2 linked regions of the Astyanax mexicanus genome follow. The protein of the gene in region 2 interacts with the protein of the main gene of each other region in a biochemical or structural test. Links are inferred from orthologs where the notes say so. Each region holds a gene or a part of one and is shown on either strand. Other genes may lie near its edges.

Region 1 (7,671 bases), on a different chromosome or scaffold from region 2:
TTAACATTAATTTAATTAATTTAACTTTATTTACTAATAATAAAAAAGTGAATTGCTGTTATCTGTTCATAGAGTGATGACTAGAGCCATGGTTACAGACTGAAATTTCAATTTAAATGCAAATGATAAACCGTGAACCTCAAACAGTATTTATTTTACTGAATTATTAATTCAGCATAACCAAAACTATAAAACTATAGCTGTACAATTCCAACACCTCATTTTATATACACTTCTAAAATTAACATGTACCCAGTGCATTAGAAAGAGCCGTTCAAAGGCCTAATCAAAGATAAGACAAGTGCCTTTTCAGGTAAAAAAAGAAAGCAAGTGGGTGTTCATTTAATATTAAAAATATATGGATTGGTCCACTCAAAAATAATACAGCAGAAAAAGCATGAAATTGTTTTAAATTAAACTTTTGCGTGCTGTGTTTGTTGTTAGCAACTGGCGCTGACTGTTATGTGGTCTTTCACTTTGTTTAGGCTTCAGTTCAGATGCCTGTTCAGAAATATCTTGCAGTCAGCAGCAGCTTCACTGACCCGAGCTTTCGCCTCATTGGGCACCAGCTTTACACGCAGGTTGGTGATGAGAGCAATGAATCTCAACAATAATAATATAGTGCAATAAAAACGACTTTTGGATAATGTCTTGTTCTGCTAATAGACTAGGAGGGTTTGGGTTATCTAAAGTTTATATTATCTGCTGCCAAAAATATTTTTAATAAAATGACACCATCATAAGAAGTAAGTTACTTTCAGTAGAAAAAATAAATAATAATAAAATAAAAAATATAGTTTTTACTTCACACTTTTTTGTAAATATACAACAAAATTTACATGCCAATAATAATAATAATAATAAGAAGAAGAAGAATCAAATCTGTTGCTATATTATTTAAAATATTAGATGAAAACTTATCTAATATTTTTGTCATATATTTATATTATTCAGACATTACATGCATAATTGTTTCTAACAACAGTAAATGTAATGTGAAGTAACATGTTTAGGTTGTAAAGTGACCTTTAGTTGGATCTAATAATAACCAGAAGTACAGAAAAAAATGTGATTAATCGCTTCTACACCACTTACAGATGGGTGCTGTGAAGTTGTCATTGTGCCATCTCTACCAATCAGCAAAGATATTAAAAACTGTGTTGGACTCAAGCCCTCAGTTCTCCAGCATCAGCCTCATAGAACTTCCTCAGCTAGATGGGCCTAGTTGTCTCGTTGTGTTTTTTTGCCAGTGTTTGGTGTGTATTGTGAGTTACACACCAGCAGATGGCAGCAGATTTTCAGAAAAGAGACTCTAAAAACATTTGTTCTGTGAGGCACGTGGTTAGTTGCCATTCTGGTGCCCATTTGGTTCACAGCTTAGATGTACATTGGTCATACAGAACATGGAGTGTATCTATGTTGACCACTTCATGATATCATTAAATGGTAATGGTGCGTGTTACTATTTCACAGTAGATCTGTACTCCTAAATCTTATCCAATGGTGATGTATGTGCCTCAGACCTTTTAAAATATTTGGAACGTTCCTTGCAGCACTATGTCCTTCATTTAAACTCACAAAGTCCCTAACTAACATATACTCAACATCCTGAGCGGATTACATGGCAATGTGTGAATCTGTGTTCATTCATCTGACCTTATTTACCGAATGTAGGAGTGCTGGGTTAGTGCTGAGATAAAACTAGCTACTTTTAAAATGTATTATTAACTTCTACAGCTCTGTTACAACCATTTAACAGTTCAAATGCTTTAAATAGTATAGGCCTGATTTCTGGAACAAAATGTTCAAATACAAGTTATCAGGATTTAACCTTAAAGTATTTACATAAGAAAAAAAAAACAGGAATGAGCTGCTTACTGATTTTTATCTTACTCAGTTTTTAATTTGACATCAATATTGACAAATGGGTCTGGGCTCTTATTGGTTAAGGAAATGGCACTCAGTAAAAGCTGCACATCTTAAAGTCAACATGCCCAGTGCCAACTTCAGCTAGAAGGGGTTATTTTGAAAAGGGACAAAAAGCTCACAAGTTTGTTCTGCAATGGCAGTGTTTCTGACATTTTGACAGCATTCACAAATTCTGAATATGTGAATGCTGATGACATTTCAACTGCACACACAAAGGCGTACAACACAAATTGAAAACATTGGAGTTATAGATATTGTATGTGCACTATATTTACAGAGCTGTAGTGCCAAATACTATAAAATTATACTGATTTACAACATTATGATAATACTGTATCACTTTATAATGTTTATCTCTACGTAACATATCTAGGGTATGTAGGAAACTATAGTAATTGCAATACACACATTGTGTACAATTGAATAAAAAAAAACTGAAGTTGAAAATACCAGTCTAGCTCCACTAAGACTGCAACTTTTGAAAAAAAATAATTTATTTATGTAGTGTTTTATAATACTTCAATGATCAGCTATAATGTTTTCTCCTCTCTACAGCAATATATGGCACTTGTGTAGTATCCTGAAGTAAAGAAATATTGTAATTATGTAAATGTACTCCAGGTAATTTACAAGGATCCCTCTTGTAGTGTTGTAGTGGCACGTGCTTAAAATCTGCTTTTAAATTCTACTTTTTATATTTGTTCAAATGCACATATATTTATTTAGATTAAATAAATGACTAAAGATGAATAGATTTAATATTAAATTGTGTTGCACTGTATACGATTATTTAAAGCTGCCTCGCTTGTGTAATGAATGCTGCTCTAAGGCAGCTTTATAAAGCTGATTAACTCATTAATGCATGCTACCTTAATAAAATGCTATCAGTGAACCAGATGACGGCAGGCATTGGATGATCAATGGAAGCACTTCTAACAAGATAAGATTAACATTTTTGAATTGCTAGAAAATGCATTCTTTGTTAAGTGTCTGTTAGTGTTAATATTTGCGATTTATTGTTTGATTGAATACTGAATAGAATGTTCTAAAAAATAAAGAGAAATTTTTATTTACATAATTGAATCAGTATTTAGTTATTTAAATGTTTATTGTGTAAGCAATTTATATTTCAGAAACATCAATACAATTTTCTTCAAAACAATGCAAAACCAAATGCAGCACATATCTACTGACGTAGAGAGTAGAGATACTGGAGTGGCCTGCCTGCAGTTCCTAGCTGTCCCTAATAGTGAATGTGCAGAGTTTTGAAATTAAATGTATGTAGGACTGTTTGCAGGAAGAATGGGACAAACTAACACCAAAAAAGAATGGCAACATTGACAGGTGGTAAATGCTTTACCATTCCAGCTATTTGGGATATCTACTTGGAGGAACCACCTTGATTTTCATATCCCATAGCCAATATTGTATTGGATAAAAATAAAAGCTCTTGAGCCCATAATAAGCTATTCAAAGGGCTCTGACACACTAAAAATAAAAGTCTAGGCTTTTTAAACAGTGCAATGTATAATAAAGCGGTTGAATATCCTGATGTCAATGTGAAACACAATAAATGAATGCTATTGAAATGTATACTGTAAATGCCAATAAAAATTATTTTGAAGTTTGTGACATTTGGACAAAATGTTTGATACATAAAAATATATAAAAATATTTATTTGGTGGCAAAAAATAAGCAGTATTGAAAAAAACTTACTCTCTGCTGAAAAAATATATCAAACCACTATAAGCCCAAACTTCTGAGCCTGGTAGCTGGTTAGACCCTCTAAATCCCGCTTGTAGCAAGTAACGTACCCATATTTTAGGATTATTAAAGGAAGGTGATAAAAATACAACACGTCGTTGTGGACTTTTTGCCTACCCTTACAATGGCAAATGCCATGCTAGCTAACGCTATATTTTTTACAGTAATCTTGCAGATATTCGTATATTTGTTTTGACAGCACTGCACTGTTTGTTTTGGCCGCCATATTTGAACCCGTTAATGTTGACATTTCCACAGCGCTCGCGTTAGTTCTGTACAGGCTCATTGCAGAACTGGTTAATGTTGTTTAAGGTTAAGACTTGGACAGCTCTCTCAGAGGCTGTTGACATTTCCACCACTCTACCACTACACACACACTCTTACACACACTCGCTCACACACACACACACACACACACACACACACATTCGCTCAGTCTCAGCTTTAGCATTAGCCCCCTCCTCCCTCCGCTCCGTCATCATATCCACGTAACTGCTCCGCTCTGATGGAAGCTGCAGCGAACCCACCCCCAGGTTTCTCCTCCTCCAGAGCCTCCATACGTAAGTGTTTATGCGCTTTTGTCAGCTGGTTCTCCACAGCAGTAACAGCAGTAGAAGCAGCAGGAGCTCCATCGCCCTGAACTTCGGACTTCGAGCAGGAGCTGAACTTTTATCTCACACTTTATCTCCAGCTTCCTTATCGCTCTTTTTTCCGCCCTCAAGACTCCCCTCTCTCTCTCTCTCTCTATCTCCCCATCTGACCAGAGGTTATTTTTTAACCTCTATCCCCCACCAACCTTTTTTTGCAGCGACTCTGTAGATATGACGTTAAAGTGCAGTAAGAACGAGCCTGCCGTCACTCTGGAGCGGGTGAGCAGCGTCCGCACGGCTCTCTCGGACCTCTACCTGGAGCAGCTGCTGCAGAACAAGCCCAAGGCTGACAAGGTGAGTAACCTAGCTAGCTGAGAGCCCTGTACTGAACCCAGTTCAGTACTGTCCTCAGTGCTCTTCCATTTTCCCCTCTTTCCCTTCATCCCTTCCTCTTCCTCTTTTCCCTTTCTCTCGGTAGCTTTCAGGTCTCCTCCTCGTGTATCGTGACTGTATTCGTTTGGTCTTTGCTGGCCTGCGGTGTAGGCAGATGTGGTGGTGCTGGTTCAGACCGGCGCAGCCCGGTTTGTGTTCAGCATCATCATCATCATCACCAACATCAACAACATCACCCCCAGCCTCAGGCTGCTTCAACTTCAGCCAATTCACAGCACAGATCAGCTGGAGCTGCTAGTAGCTGCACTGCTGTAGACCCCAAAATCCATCTAGCACTGACTGTAGACAGTATAAAAAATATATGTACTATAAAAAAAGATGCAGAGCTTTCAGACCTCAATAGAGTTCAGAAATCAATATTTGGTGCAATAACCCTTTTTTAATCACAGTTTTTATGCATCTTGGCATGTTCTCCTCCACCAGTCTTACACACTGTTTTTGGATAACTTTATGCCAATCCTGGTGCAAAAAGGCAGTTCAGCTCGGTATGATGGCTCGTGATCACCCATCTTCCTCTTGATTATATTCCAGAGGTTTTCAGTTTGGTCAAATCAAAGAAACTCATCATTTTTAAGTTGTCTCAATTTTTTTTTTCCAAAAAAACAAAAGTGCTCAAGCTGTTCTGGAGTTTTTGAAGGGATGCCATAAAAGAACCAATTTTGGTTTATATATGATATATATATATATGAAAATATAAGATATTTAGTTCACAATGGTTCTTTAAACCCCTTAAGAAGTGTTTCTTCAAGGACTCTAGATAAATGCTAAGTGGTCTTCAAATGAGACCATATAGAGCTGGTCAAAATGGTAAAAAAAAATTAATGATATTTAAATTTTAAATTAATATTATTTTTTTATTTTTCATGATACGTGGTTTCATGATATTTATCGCAATATTTAGACTCACAGACTGAGGTCAGTGTTTTTTGTTCAAAATATGCAATTAATCTAATCAAACAGGACTTATTACACTCGCTGTGATTAAATGTACAGTTGAATTAGTGTTCTTGAATTAGTGTTCTTCATTTATCACAGTGCACTAAATAATTGTAGGGCTGTAACTAATTGTTAAATTGGTAGATACCTAATCTGATGGTTATTTTTCTGATTGGTTGTTGATTAGTCAACAGTTATTTCTGCCATGCCCCCATCACTTTAAAATGAAATAAACATCTGAAAGTGGGACTTAAGTTCCCTGTAAATGCATAAAAGATGTTTAAATGTGGAATATGGGTTTTTAGAGAGTAAATATGTAATCTGTTGTGTGTGGACACTTTTGGAGACAGACCAGGTTGTAATTGTAAACTATGTGAATGAGCCTATGAACTCTTTTTTCCATTGTGTTTTATTCCCTAACACTCTGTGTAGAGCACTGGTGTCACAAATTAACTATTTATAGAGTTGACAATTTTCATAGTTGACATTGTCGGTTACATCTTGGCAGTTCTAAAATATCATCATACTGCCCACCGTTTCTTAGGAGAAGCACTTTTGGTTTCTATATAAATATTTCAGTGGATGTTTCTTAGCCCTTAGAAGACTCCTCTTAAAGAACAACCCTAGAAATGCTTGGTTCCATAGAAAAAAAGAAAAACATTGGATTCCATAACAAACCATGTTTGTGTAAAGTACTTTTAAATTGGTAAAATTCTTGAAACTATTATAAGTTTTTTTTTTCATACATATTTTTCTCACATATTTTATAACAACATGGTTCTTCTGTGGCATTTGTCATAGATCCCATTGTACCATTTATCACAAATATAAATGGTATTAAAGAGGTTTAATACATCTTTACAAATTAGCTTTTTAGACCTCTTTTTAGACTAGAGTCTCTTTTAGACTAACTAGAGCACTAGTTAACTAGTTTTACTGTGGATCAAGTTGGGGGATCAAGACCCAGGTTTGCTGCACTGCCACTGTTGGGCCCCTGAGAAAGGCCCTTGAGCATGTGTGTTTGCTCAATGGTGAATAACACACTGTGTGTGTATTCATTGCACAGAGGGGTTAAAGGCATAAGTCAAATTCCATCTGCGTCCAACATAAAGGGTTGACTTTGTCTTCGTTTTAAAACAAAAAGGGTCTTTTATAGTGTTAAAAGGGGGTTCTTTGACTAGTTAATATGGTGGAATCCTCTAGGGTGCTATATAGAGTTTTAATGGTTCTCCTGGTGTATTGTGTGTATATATAAACAACACTTTTAACCTATAAAATTGCTTCTCTTACACACAAATCTCTGGTCTTTTTCATCACAGAAATACATCAGAGTATTGATTAATTGATTGATTATTTTGCTCTGTTCTCATGTAACACGTGACATGACTCAACTCCAGTCATTATTGGAAGCCCAGTTTATAAAAGCAGGCTCATCACTGACTAATGTATTAGCACAAAAAACACTGTGATGTAATCAAACAGACAAAGAGCCATCTTCTGAGACACACTAGCTGAGAACATCTACGTAAAAGGAACACATGCTCTGTTAATCGTTAATCTTACAAGTGCTGTTCTTTGGTTGACGTTGTTATGAGCCTAATGCAGTTTTTCTCTGATTAGCCTGACAGATTGAAACCCACCCATTGGGTCGTTAATGTATACAAGGGTCTAGAGATAATGTTCTTTGAAAGGATCCGAAACCGTTCTAGGTGTGAATGTGTAGCTGGGGGAAGGGTTAACGAACAAGACCAATCTGCCCTCTATTGTGTCATCAGGAGGGTCTTTATAAGCCAACTGGAGCTTTATTGTCTCTTCAGGAGAAGGTTGAGACTTTAAGAAGCAACCATATTAGACTGACTTGCATTAGAGTGGCTTTTGTGGACAGATTGTTTCGTAAAGACTTTGGTCATAAGCACAAGCTACTGCTGAGTTAATCTGCTCGGTCAACAGCGGAGGCTTCGTGTTCATAACAGGTCAAAGACCTGCAGTAAAACTTGT
Region 2 (7,726 bases):
GCTTAGAACAACACCCTTTTCAAATTTAATACAATAAAATCCCCACTGATGCAGAAATATCCTATAAACAACCACATGTAAAAAAAAGACTGCTGTACATGACCTTCAACTCTGTAAAAAGTGATATGCCTACATTAGGTCACAGTGATTTACAAAAACAAACAAACAAAAAAAAACTATGAAATGGAATTGATTATTCTGAAGTTACATGCCATTTAACTGTACTTTAAACATAGGAGCTTTAAAAGTAATATGACTTCAGGGTAGAACATTTATGTGTACGCTTTTGTCTTCTAAACACTGGCTCAGCTCGAAACGATTAGTTTTCCTCCAGTTCTGTGTCAAAAGCATGCTCTGATTTACCCACTGATACTGTAAGGGGACATTTGTAAGATGAAGCACCGTTTTTAGAACTAATTTTGGATTAAAGGCTTATTTTCATCACTTACATGGTGGACAAGAGAAATAGTTAGACAAACTTAGCACATATGATTGATGAGTGATGGGCGGATTATGATTAGAGGAGCAAGAACACATACTAGACAGTCCAGCATGTTTAAAAATGGCTAAAAAAGTTAACTGGCTGTTTTTTCGCTAACTGAGACTAACCGAATAAACTACAAATAAGTTGTAACTCAGATGTACAAAAAGATATAGCAATTTTCCACTACATTTCTGACATTTTCCTTGACAGACTGCATTAGACCCTGTGTATATACTCTGCTGCCCTTTAGCTTTTGGGTTTTCTGATGAGTAACATACATGTAATAGATGAAATAAGATAAAAGATGATAAGTCCTGAACCCAACAACAACCATGACAATCTGATACTGGCTTAACATGGTCCAGAAGCACAGCATAACACTGTGTTCATGGTTCATGTTCTATTGCCTCAACTGCCAATTGCCAAATACTCAGACTGACAAAGAAAATAATCCAATACTGTGAGAAGGAACAAATAAAAACCCTCCTAAGCCTGGGCTCAATTCCTTTAACCATATCAAACTTTATTGCATTTCTGGTTTGGGTAGCATTAGCTCCTGGTACTCTTCCACATGAAGCCCCAGCAGGTGCTTAAGTGAACTGATTGTATTATCCGACGCAACCATACTTCCACCCTTGGCACACAGGCTCTACAAACATTACAAGCGTCTGTTCCTTCATTACATGTCACACACACATGCTATAGATGTCAGTGCAACATGTACTGACAGTGTGAAAATGCTTCCTTTCCCTGCAGCTCCCATTCCACTAGCCTTATAAAAACAGCTCTGAGGTGCCGCATTAAGCAATAACCTTGGCATGCATTAAAAACCACAGTATTTAGTAACACTATTCACACTTCACCACCATAGACTTTGAACATTTAATAGGACTGACATTTCCAAACCAAAATTTGGTTAGCAACTAAATGGACTGACAGGAAGTATAACCTTTGTACCTCCCAATGTAGTTAGTAAACACAGCAAGACATAAACAAATCAAGACTTTATTTAAGAACACATGGATAAGCAGAGCAGCTCAGTATTCTAAGCATGGGTGATGTTTTTTGTGTCCTGTGTACAGCTTTATTTGTTTACATACCTCTGAAGTTCCCCTCCCAGTCTCTTCGACTCGTCCTCAGGAAGCACTTTAAACATGTCATCTTCCTCAAGTTTTCGTTTGTATCCAATGCGAAACAGGGGGTTCAGCCAGCTGAGTAAAAAAAAAAAAAGAGAAGGAAGACACAGCACAGGGCTTCCCGAAACTGAAAGTGAAAATTCTCAACAGCAGCAAAGCTAGCAAAAAAGCCAATGTTTCACAATGTAAAATGACCCACAGCTACTGTTTTTGTCTACGTTCTTATTAGATAAAATGATGAGATGAAACTCAAGTTCAAATGCTGCTAAAAACGGCAGCAAAGGGAAACAGCTGTGCTTTTGTGAGATGTTTACTTTCCTGTAAAAAGGTCAACAGCAGGCAGGTTAGCTAGTTAGCTAACTAATAAAAAAATACATCTGAAATAAAAAATGACCTTTCTTTTCATTCTATCTTTTTCTTTTATTCCATTCTCTGGTGTTTTAGGGCATTATAAAAACATAGTTATTTAACTATTTAGCTAGTTAGCTAACTAGTGATTCTAGGTGATTCTCTTTAGGAAAGGATCATCAAGAGTCAAGCTGACAACCAGCAACTGTAAAGCTGAACAACAGCCAGGTAAGGTAACTAATAACCTACCCAGAGAACCTATTTGACTAATTTAGCAAATACAAAAATAAATCAGCACTAATAGCTAGGTAACTATGTATTTACTATAAAAAATACATTAGCTACTAGACTTTAGTACTTTAGAAAACTTTAGAATTTTGTATTTAAAGGCAGTGGGAAAGTGCCAGGTAGCGTTTTTAGTTATTAATGACATTTTTATAACATTATTAACGTTGTTAAAGGCTAGCTAAGGTGAGTCCCTATAGGAAAAGCATAATCAAGAGTCAAGCTGACAACCAACAATAACCTACCTAGAGAACCTATTTAACCAATTAGCTAATTTAGCTAATACAAAACTAAATCTGAGCACTAAAAGTTAGGTAACTATGTATTTACTATAATAAATACATTAGCTACAGATCCAGTTTAGACTTTAAGACTTTGGAAAAGTTTAAACTTTTGTAGTTAAAGGTAACGTAGTGGAAAATTTCAGGTAGCGTTTTTAATTCTGAATTACATTTTTATGACATTATTAACATTGTTATACTTTAGCCCTACAGAAAAAGCACATGCATGCTGAGAACCAAAAACAACTTTATAGACAGATAACTTTAGTTAGGTTATGTAGTTAATGTCAGTCACTGGATTTTGTAGCCAAGAGGGGAGGGGGATCACGTGTGTGAGTAAATAAAAATAAATGAATAAAAATAGTAACTACAGCCTGCACTGTAAACGTTAACGTTACTTCTTTTCCTTCTGCTGCTGCTGCTGTATGAGTAAGCTAGCTTTTAGTTTAGCTAATCTGGCTAGCTCTTGCTCATTAGCCTCTGCTAGTAGTTAGCTAACCTATAGCTTATTAACTTTAATTAGCTAATTTCCTCAGTTGAACTTCCTGACATATGTTAGATAGGTTATGTCCAGGTAAAATAATTCCTCAGTATTTATTTTATAAAGGTTATTTCTTCCCCAGTAGCCTAAAACAGCCTCCATACACACTTAGCTAACCTATATAAACTCTCACAGCCCGCAGTAACCGGCTAGCTCACTCACCAGAACAGTATCTGAGACACAATATTAGCAGAGGCGGCCGGATTAGTCTTCACATCTTTGCCCACGGGCTCCATATCGATTATTATCCGCTCCGGAGCTTCACCCGCTCATCCGCGCGCTGCCTCGCTCACTTTCCTCCTCACTTCTGAACAGATTCCTCATAAACTGTTGTGTAACTTCCCCGCGTGCACATGGTAATCAGCAGGTGACGGAGGCGCTCGCGCTGCTGCTCTCGCGCTGCTGCTGTTGCATCGTAAAGACAGCCGGCAGCGCTGTAGATGAAGGACGCCGCCCAGCTGCCCGCGAGGGCGCAGCTCGCTATCGGCCCAGGGCGTGTTCCCTCGCAGCCCATTGGTCCATTGTCCCCGAGGTGCACATTTCCAGGAGCCTGGAGCTGTCACTGCTGCACAACAGAGTGTAAAGTGTGTACTGTTATCATTAAAAACAGCTTAAAATTGTGAAATACCATCAACCTTCACCTTTTTTTTATCACTTTTTTATCAGTCAGTTCTGTAGTAAACTGACTGATAACTGAGAAAAGAAGCACTTCAAGGACAGTCCATTCTGTAGGAAAAAGTACATTTGGGACAAAAGTAGACAAAAGTCATAGCAGCATTTAATAACTAAGCGTTTATCTAGAATTAAAAGAGAAAATTAATTAATTTAGTTATTTTTTTTATCTTTGATTCATTTTATATTGTATTGCTAAAGAGAGCACACTGAATCTCGATGTCCTTGTAAAATGACATTAAATGTTGTACATTGACATTAAACGTCATTGTACAAGGACATTGAGATTCAGTGTGCTCTCCTTAGCAATACAATATAAAATAAAACAAAGATTTAAAAAAATGTAATAAATAAATAAATAAATAAATATTGGTCTTTTTTTCCTTTATTGATCAATTTCAATGTTACATTAACAAACATTCTTTATTTTTTAACAACTTAATCAACTCCCCCAAGCTATCTAACCCCCCTCCCTAGCCCCCCCTAAGTGGTTCCTCAGGTGTTCATGATGGTTGCTATGGTGTTGCTATGTGACACCAATAAATTCTATCCAACAAATTCCTGATATTTGCTTATTTAGGAGTATTTTATTCTAATCCCAGTATGATGATTTCATCATTGCCATGGGAAATACATCACAATAATACTGTATTGTGAGATGCCCTGTGATTCCCATCCCTAGAAGGGGTGACAGGAACCAGCCTGACAGAAATATGAAACAGAAACGTGATTTAATATTGACCCAATGTAACTACAAATCTGATTAGACGTTGCCTTTGAAGTCCTTGAGCTCAGATTGTGCTCTCTCCAGTGTTTTAAATGTGGAAGATGTGGAAGCTATTTTACATATTTACTGTCATTAAGTATAGATTTGTTCCAGTCAAAGCAATAATATAAGTCAATGTTTTAAGATAAACATGTTAGCAATTATTTATAGTATTAGTGTTTAGTACACAAGTGGGCCACAGATATTGTTTGTGCCCATTTTTAAGTGGTTCCTCTATCCCACACATCATTTACCTCATTAATAATTAACAAATCTGTCACCTATTGGGTCAGGTGTGTTAGAGTATTGGTCTCCAAACCTGGTTTTAAAAGCAGGCCCACTGCCCATGACTACTGCCTGAGAGACAGAGATACCAACATGTACGGGGTTCCCAGGACTGCCTTAGGTGAATATATGAAACAACTGAGCTAAAGGATATTCCCTTTGAACAGTTCTCATTTTAGGTTTAGAGCCTTTTGATAAGATGTGTTTGTTAGAATTCTGCTTTTTGGCCACAAAACCAACAAAGAAGGGCATTGTAAGTAGAGCTCAGCATTGCAATGGCCTCAAAAAAAAGTTCAGTCTTCAAGCAACAGAAAAAAAAACCACACTGTGCTGCTGTGAGTGAAGAAATACCACATGTTGATCCCGCTCTCTCTCTCAGTACCAGCACAAAGAAATCAGAGAGCATTTCAGTCCATATTTTAGCTTTTTTACAACAATAAGTGTAACTTGCAGTAAGGGCTGACAGAAAAAGAATCGCATTAAAAATCACTCCTGCACTTTTTAATCCAGTTTTTCTGCTTAGATGAACAGGTTTAATTAAACTGCATGACCAAAAAAAAAGGTCACAAACTCTAATATTTGGTTGGCTCACCTTCAGCTTTGATTGCGGCACACATTCGCTGTGGCATTGTTTTAATAAGCTTGTGCAATGTCACATTATTTATTTTTAAATCCAGTGTTGCATTAATTTTTCACCAAGATCTTGCAGCAGCATTGATGATGGTAGAGTCTGACCAACCGCTGCACAAAGCAGCTCTTCTCCATCCAGCACATCCCAAAGATTCTCAATGAGGTTAAGATCTGGACTCTGTGGGGAACTCTTTCAATCCATGTGTGAAAATGAAGATCTCATGCTCCCTGAACCCTGAACTATTTCACAATTCCAGCCCCATGAATCCTGGCATTGTCATCTTGGAATATGGCTGTGCCATCAGGGAAGAAATATAAAATCCATTGATGGAATAACCTGGTCTATATTCAGTATATTCAGGTAGTCAGCTGACCTCATTCTATCAGCACATACTGTTGCTGAACCTAAACCTGCAGAGCAACTGCAGCATCAACCAACCCCACATAATTTACTTACTTACATCCAGGTGGAGACTTTTCTGACCAGGCAGTGTAGTTGGTGCACTTTATAGTGAATAGAGTACAGTTTTAGATATACTGTGACAAATACTGGATATTAGTAAGCTTTAGAGACCTGCATGGAAGTGGATGGAGCGGTACAAGCCATGCCAGTGTTTTGTTCTAGTCAATACTGCTTTCTCTCTCTTTCTCTGTTTTTCTACTTTTCTCTCTCGTATGTTCTTTATAGGTTATCCGTTGGCTAAGCCTCTGAAAGGGCAGTGCATGAAAGACGCACAATGAGAGACAGAACAGGTGGGCAGTACATTGATAAAGGGAATGGTGAAAGACACACACACACACACACACACACACACACTGTAGAAAAATATTCATGGGCTCAACGTAGCTCAGTCAAGTCAATATTACTCAGTTACGTTGTAAATACATACAATTTTATGTTTATTCAACTTCACTGAGTCAAATCTAAATGATAACAGATTAATCAGTTATGTTTATTTAACCTAACGGAGTTTTGTTCACAAAACAATAGTTTAATTAGCTCAGCAGTTTTGCAGGCTTAAAGAATTTAGTTTATTTAAGATATATATAGGTATTTTCAACATATTTAAGATATTTTTTATAGAACTGCCACTACTGAAAGTAAAACACATACTGTGACAACTAGGAGCACAGAATAGAGGTAACTTGCTCTTACAGCCTACAACACTGAGGCCTGGCAATCAACAAATATATTATACTAATGCACGACTAAGATAAGGTAGCCTTGGGCAACAGACAACACAAAGATGGTAAGTAAGGGAGAGGCCACACCCAATATGCAAATATATGGTGCCAGGAGCCTATGAAAAAAAAAGCTGTACGAACCAACACTGATGAAAATAGCATTGACACGTGTAGTATAACTAAAAGTTGGTTTAAATCATATTTTTTATTGATAATATTAGATAATATTAGATAATATTAGTTCTCCTGACTAGAACACAAAATCCCTTTTTAGAGTGCGCACACACACACACAAACAGTATGTGTTTAACACAACAGAAACATAGTGTTGTTTGTTTAGAATCTAATACTGACACCAAAATCCCCACTGTGAGGCGAGGCTGAGAGAGTGTGAGGTTGTGGTGAAGCTCCACAGTCTGAACAGCACAGGATCATTAAAAATGGTACTTTAAATTGTATCTGCAAATTCTGTGGCATTATGTTAGAAAGTCACTTTGTGATTTAAAACTCAAAAGAATTTGGGTTAGTCCATATAACAACTAAGCCAAGACCCAGAAATAAATCAGCAGACATCCGTGATTCAGTTCTGTTGAAATGCTGTGGTGTTACACTGCACTGAGCTGATCAACAACAGAAAGGGCTGCGGTTAAAGCAACTGAAAATAATTCCACAGTTCCACAAGTTCGTGAATATGAGAGTTTATATCTTGGCAGGATGATTGCAGTGCTCAGTATTTGGGTGGTAATACGTCTGAAATTATAATTATGACTCCAGGATTAGCCTCCCTCCATTACTTTCTATACCCTAAAGTAGGGGTGGCCAATAAAAGAAGATATATATTTTTTGAGATGATTATCCACACAGAAGACATGTTGACTTGATTTGTTTTGCCCAAGAATGCAAAATATTTTCTCTTCTTCATATGTTTTGGTCCTGTTCTAACTTTGAATTCTTTGCTGTAAGATATATAGGTTTTTGAGAATAATAAAAATAACTTTAAATAAATACATTTCTTTAACCCCTAGGCTAGCCATGTGTGGTAATGACCCTGCTTTACCAGAGAGTGAAGAAACTTCTTCTAAAGTTTATTAAAATGGGCTTAATTGCTGTAAA

Evidence for each region.
Region 1: the proteins of abcc4 (region 2) and mpp1 form a complex in vitro, tested with the Homo sapiens proteins (2 studies listed by BioGRID and IntAct, with this or other methods). The link is inferred for Astyanax mexicanus from reciprocal best matches to the Homo sapiens genes ABCC4 and MPP1.

Annotation. Positions count from the first base shown.
Region 1 is NC_064424.1:19,033,981-19,041,651, reverse strand, and holds the start of mpp1 (55 kDa erythrocyte membrane protein), read left to right. Parts: upstream 1-4,133; 5' UTR 4,134-4,254; intron 4,255-4,502; 5' UTR 4,503-4,515; coding exon 4,516-4,638; intron 4,639-7,671. UniProt on the Homo sapiens protein: Essential regulator of neutrophil polarity. Regulates neutrophil polarization by regulating AKT1 phosphorylation through a mechanism that is independent of PIK3CG activity.
Region 2 is NC_064412.1:55,549,363-55,557,088, reverse strand, and holds the start of abcc4 (multidrug resistance-associated protein 4), read right to left. Parts: upstream 3,503-7,726; 5' UTR 3,312-3,502; coding exon 3,238-3,311; intron 1,696-3,237; coding exon 1,585-1,695; intron 1-1,584. UniProt on the Homo sapiens protein: ATP-dependent transporter of the ATP-binding cassette (ABC) family that actively extrudes physiological compounds and xenobiotics from cells.